2 linked regions of the Sus scrofa genome follow. The protein of the gene in region 2 interacts with the protein of the main gene of each other region in a biochemical or structural test. Links are inferred from orthologs where the notes say so. Each region holds a gene or a part of one and is shown on either strand. Other genes may lie near its edges.

What was found.
Region 1: of the proteins of CUL2 (region 2) and DCUN1D4, one has a biochemical effect on the other in vitro, tested with the Homo sapiens proteins (2 studies listed by BioGRID, with this or other methods). The link is inferred for Sus scrofa from reciprocal best matches to the Homo sapiens genes CUL2 and DCUN1D4.

What each region holds. Positions count from the first base shown.
Region 1 is NC_010450.4:39,055,685-39,058,451, reverse strand, and holds part of DCUN1D4 (DCN1-like protein 4), read right to left. Parts: intron 1,228-2,767; coding exon 1,125-1,227; intron 1,018-1,124; coding exon 962-1,017; 3' UTR 1-961. UniProt on the Homo sapiens protein: Contributes to the neddylation of all cullins by transferring NEDD8 from N-terminally acetylated NEDD8-conjugating E2s enzyme to different cullin C-terminal domain-RBX complexes which are necessary for the activation of cullin-RING E3 ubiquitin ligases (CRLs).
Region 2 is NC_010452.4:57,731,889-57,735,388, reverse strand, and holds part of CUL2 (cullin-2), read left to right. Parts: intron 1-3,029; coding exon 3,030-3,126; intron 3,127-3,216; coding exon 3,217-3,327; intron 3,328-3,500.

The sequences.
Region 1 (2,767 bases), on a different chromosome or scaffold from region 2:
TTCACAAATTAGACACCATGAAAACTTAACTAAAAATTCAAGCCACAACTAAAAGTGCTCTGCGGTGACAAATTGCCAGCAAACCATTAGGTTTTCATGGAGGCAGCAAAATAAATTTTACTTAGAATGGCATTGAAAGCATCAGCAGACCAAACACTGACTAAAAGAATGCAAAAGAAAAAAACAAAAAAACACTAAAAAAAAAATTTATAAGAGTTTAAAACCAATGCGGGGGGGGGGGGGGGGAGAAGGTGCAACTTCAATTTGTTCATCTGTACCTATATTCAAACTATGACAGGTTTAACATTAGAAAATCAAAACCTATACCCTGCGTGGCGGAAATGATTGGTGGCGTGGCATGTGTCTATGTGGTTCGATTATTCTAACTTTCATCATTTAAAAATGCTAATATTTAGGTAAACCAAGTTACTTTTGGCATATGCCTCTGAAAAGTTATGACTCCCACCTCCTTCCACAAGTTGGCCTCTTAAACAACAAGGTGAATTCTGGCAACACCTGCATATGGTAACCGCTGTTCTGTCTTGTCTTCTGAAATGCTACATTTGAGACCAAATAAAAGTATAACTGGTTCATTTGAAAAAAGGGACTAGAAATATGCCACAAAGATTATTTTACATTTTTGCAGAAATAATCTCTAGGTGAAGCTTTTTCTTTTTATACACATATACAAAATTTAAACAGCAATATACACATCATCACAGTGAGGACGTTGGCAAATTCACCAATCTGTAGTGTAAATACAAACTGCAAAGCAGCCTTCCAAGAGAACAATGCTACACAGCAAGCAGAGCTGGCCCATTCATGGCAAACACCAACATGTCCCTGCCAAACGGAGACAGTGCAAGAAAAGCAGCATGCGCTTGGATACAAACAGCAATTTATGGCTAATGGTTGACAGAACTGTGGTAACAGTGACTCTCTCGCTGCTATGCATAAAGTCCTAGGACATCTGCTTGTCTTTATACCACTCCACAAACTCGTCCAACAAAACTGGCCCTGAAGAGAGAGAGGGAGAGAGAAAAAAACACGGCCATGAGGATTCTCACGAGGCAGATGAGCAGAGGGGCGGCGACGCGGGAGGAGCGGGCCGGCGCTGTACTTACACGCTCCATCTTCGTCGTAGTTGCTGAGGTCAAGGTTAATTGTTCGGCTAAACTCTAGCACGTTGCACCACTGGTCTTTGTTAATCACTTTATATTTTGATTGCTGACAGAGGGAAAAGGAACAGACGTTACTGACGCTCACAATGAGCAAACGGGACCGTTGCAAGTGCTGGTAACCATCGACTTAATAAAGCGCACGAAGGTTCACTCTCTCACCGGCCGACAAGGGTGAGAGAGAGCGCGAGCAAGAGGAGAACTTCAGAAGACGATTTTCAGGATGTAAACATTTTGGGGGGCTCAACACAAACCGACAAGCCCATCAAAGCACCCCAATTTTAAGTATGGCCAAAGCCTTTTTATATAAAGGGGGGCTAACACCTATTTCACGGAGATGTGGCAAGGATTAAAAGAGACAATTGATGGAGAGCCCTTCGTTTAGAGCCTGGCACAAAGTAAGTGCTAAATAAAGAGGCGCTCCCATTAACAGCCCCTGATGGGAACAGCCTGCTCGCTGTCAAGCCATCTGTCGCCTGACGGCACACGCAGCAGTGGGTTGACTCAACTTGACCTTGCTGAGTGCTGCGAGCCGTCTCGGACCAGGCGCTCTGGCTGCTGAAGAGAGTGACTGTTCCAATCATTCAGAATTTGAATCTGATCACAAAAGAACTTGCAGTAGCTGTGAAATAGTTTTCTTCCCAGTCAAGCATATGCCACGTGCATATATATATGTATCATTTATTCATTTATTCATTTGCCTTTCGGGGCCATACCCAAAGCACATGGAAGTTCCCAGGCTAGGGGTCGAATGAGAGCTACAGCTGCCGGCCTACACCACAGCCACAGGAACTCGGGATCCGAGCCGCGTCTGCGACCTACACCACAGCTCACGGCAACAACACCGGATCCTTAACCCACTGAGTGAGGCCGGGGACTGAACCCGCATCCTCCGGGAATACTAGTCGGATTCGTTACCGCCGCGCCACAATGGGCACTCCACCACATGCATATTTTAAAGTGAAGTATTCCTGTATCAAGATTTAAAAATAAAACCTAGTCCAACAATTTTTAAATTCTTCCCACTAAAACTGGGAACATTAGAAAACAATGCAAGTACATAAAAAGCAAGGAGGGTTGAGCCAAGGGTTGGGAGAGCGCAAACACAAGAAAAACTCAAATGAAAGGATGACTGTGTCCTTTAGAAAGAAAAATGCAAACTAATACAAGAGAGAGAACAAAGCAGTCTACAAATTTAACTTTCTGAGCAACTAAAAGCAAAACCCAGTCATCGAAACAGTTGATGGTGCTCTGGAATGGTGCAAAGTCCAATCTGCTGGCAGCAAGGTCGCTGAGCTGCAGAACCTTCACACCCGGGCTCTAAGGCTGCTCACCTCTCTGAGAACAACAACCCATTTCTACTTATTTTCCAAATAAAGCTAATGTTTCTTAGGGTTGTCAGAGGAACTGGGACAGATTGTTGGTAAATATGGATTGTCAGGTAAACAAATACTTCTCATATTAAAAATTCATTGGAGTTCCTATCGTGGCTCAGTGGTTAACGAACCTGACTAGGAACCATGAGGTTGTGCGTTCGATCCCTGACCTTGCTCAGTGGGTTAAGGATCTGGCATTGCCTGAGCTGTGGT
Region 2 (3,500 bases):
AAGGTTTCACTAAAAGATAAATTTGCTCATTGCCACATAACAGAATCAGGGCTGCTGAGAGTTCCAGCTGACTTCTAATAACCATCTGATCTGCTCTCTGAGTTAAACTGGCTTTAAATGTCTTGGGTCTTGGTTTTGTTATTTATTTATTTATTTATTTATTTATTTTTGGTCTTTTTGTCTTTTCTAGGGCTGCATCCGCGGCACATGGAGGTTCCCAGGCTAGGGGTCTAATCCGGGTGTAGCTGCCAAGCCTACGCCAGAGCCACAGCAACGTGGGATCCGATGGTTCTTAGTCAGATTCCTTAACCACTGAGCCATGACGGGAACTCCGTGTCTTGGTTTTAAAATCAAAGTCAGGGCTTTTTTTGTTGTTGTTTCTTAGCTTTTTGTTGTTGTTTCTTAGCTCTGTTTTACTGAAAATGCTTCTGTTTTCCTCCTATCTGTACTTAAAATACTGGCTTACTAACAGTTCACTTGTGTACCAGGCACTGTGCTACGTGCTTCCTCGGGTTATACTTAACCTTTACCATTTCCTGTGAGACCAGGTACTTTTATTATTCCACCTTCCAGAAGGGGACACCTCTGAGTACTAGGAGGTTCAGCATCTGCACAAGGTGACATGTTAATACAGCCAGAACTTGAACCTAGGCAGTCTGACTCCAAAGTCCTGGTCTTGAGGGCTGTGATAAACTATTCCAGTCAGTTTGCATCCTCCCAGCTGAGTGATTTCATTATGATTGTTGTGGGCATTTCCATTTAGTTCTGTCATGATCAAATAATGAGCCAAATTTCTAAAAATTCCTCATTCTTTGCTCAAGGCTCATCTCCTGGGATCACCATTCGTACATGGGACTGGTGCTTGTTCAGATGACTGGTTTAGTCAGGCTTTTATATATTACTACTTTAGCATCACTTCATAGTTTGTTTTCATTATCTGTCAGCCTAATAGAAATAAATTATAATGATTTTTCTCTAGTATCTTTTGTACAGTTATAAAAATATATGCTGATCTTCAAGATGGAATAATTATGCCTCAGAGTTTCTGAGTTCAGATGTTATTCTTACAGAGCAGACAGCCTAGTTTTTAAGCACTGGGACTATCGATGTTCTTTCTAGGCTCTACTTATCCCATTTCAGATTCTCTGGGCCTTTTGAGATCCAGAAACAAATGGCAGGAGTGCTGAGAGTAGCAGGAGTGGACGTTTTCCTGGTGCTGAGGAGGGCAGTAGGATTTGGTCATGAATATAATTTAGGTAACCTGATTTTTCAAATATTTAGGTATTTCTCACTCTTGACTGATTTTCACTTGGTCCCAAAGTCGAAACGCAAAAAGTGATTCACCCCAAATTGATAGACTAAGTTATTAGATCATTATTTCACCAGATTTAATTTAGGCTCAAGAGGGAAGGTCAGCAGAGGGAATGAGCTCACTGCGGGTCACCTTGTATGAACTCAGCCTTCTTATTAGTGATACCGAAATGTAGACTTTGTAACTAAGATTCCCAGACTGACAGGAGCACTGTAGCCATGTTAACTCAGCACAGAAAACTTCCCCAGAACATCCAGATAATTAAAGGGAGAAGGAAGGAGGATGAGAGGGAGGCGAGGGTCGGGGAGAGGGGGAGGGCACTGATTTATAAAGGTAATTTCCTCAATACTGTTCTTTTTCATCTTTTATTTTATTTATTTATTTTTTGCTTTTTGGGGCCTCATGTGTGGCATATGTAAGTTCTTAGGCTAGGGGTCAAATCGGAGCTCCAACTGGCCTACGCCACAGCAACACCAGATCTGAGCCATGTCTGTGACCCATACCATAGCTCACACTGATGCTTGGATACTCACCCTGCCTAGTGAGGCCAGGGATTAAACCCGAGTCTTCATGGATACTAGTTGGGTTTGTTAATCGTTGAGCCACAATGGGAATTCCAGTCAGTACTTCTATTTTTTTTTGTTTTGCTTTTTTAGGGCCACACCTGTGGCATATGGAGGTTCCCAGGCTAGGGGACTAATCGCAGTTACAGCTGCCGGCCTACACCACAGCCACAGCAACGCCAGATCTGGGCCGCATCTGCGACCTACACCACAGCTTACGGCAACGCTGGATCCTTAACCCACTGAGCGAGGCCAGGGATTGAACTCTCATCCTCATGGATCCTAGTTGGATTTGTTTCCACTGTGCCATGGTGGGAACTCCAATACTTCTCTTAAATATGAGAAAATCCTTGTATCAAAACAAGGAGATTTTACTAGGAAATGATGATCATGTATTTTTTTGTGACTTTCTTTGTAAAATAATTACTAATTCAAAGGAAAAAACTAAAGTGAGATGCATAATTAGCAAGAGAGGTAAACCTTTGACTGTGTAATGGTTTGATCTGAGCATTACTATTGGAGCCAGAAACTCCCAGCATAGAGCCAGACTGTTTTACAGTGGCTTTAGGAAAACCCCTTTTTTCCCTTATGTTATTTTCCTGTTTTTGTAGTTAGAAAAGCCACAGTTCACTGCCATTTCTTATTGTGGTTCAGACTTGCATCCCAGTAGTGCCCTTGACTAAGTAGGAACTTAGCCAAGTGTCACATGATTTTAGATCGCTTTGCTAACTGTAAAGGAATGTAGAAATGTTAAAACATATCTTACTACCTTTCTAGGTAGACTATTTAATATTAAATAAATTAATACTAATATTAAAACATATCTCACCAAGTTTCTAAGTAGAGAAGTACCTTTGTGCTTACATGAAATAAATACCGTCTTAGTATCAACATAGTATCTTTAATTTTACAATTAAAGCTTTCCTGTTTATTGAAATGTCATCCAATGTGTCCATTAACTATCATAAATATTATTAATTCAGCTGTGATATAAAAAATTATTTTTAAGTATCATGTGGGCATTGGGCTTTAAAATGCTTTATATATAATGTGATTAGACCAATAGCGTAAGCAGCCATAGTTTGGTAAGCTTTGGTATATTTCTGTAGATACTTGTATTTTCAAGAATGTTTGGTGTTACACCTTTGTTTCAGTGATCGTGGTGGAGAAGACCCAAACCAGAAAGTAATCCATGGGGTTATTAACTCCTTTGTTCATGTTGAACAGTATAAGAAAAAATTCCCCTTAAAGGTAAAAAGCCTTCTTTAAAAAAAAAAAATTAGACTTTTAATTTCTTAAGTTGCTTGTTCTAATTTTTAAATATGATTTAATTGATTTTAGTTTTATCAGGAAATCTTTGAGTCTCCCTTTCTGGCTGAAACAGGAGAGTATTACAAACAAGAAGCTTCAAATTTATTACAAGAATCAAACTGCTCACAGTATATGGAAAAGGTAAGAAAGAAAACATATTATATATCAGGCACGGTGTTACATAACATTTTTATCTTAGTTAATATTTTTTTGTGGAAAAATTTCTGGTTTGTTTGTTTAATCATTGTACCTGTTGATAAGCTGTTGTTCTTGCTGTGCCTGTCTCCATGAGAAAAAGTGCTATTCCAATTTTC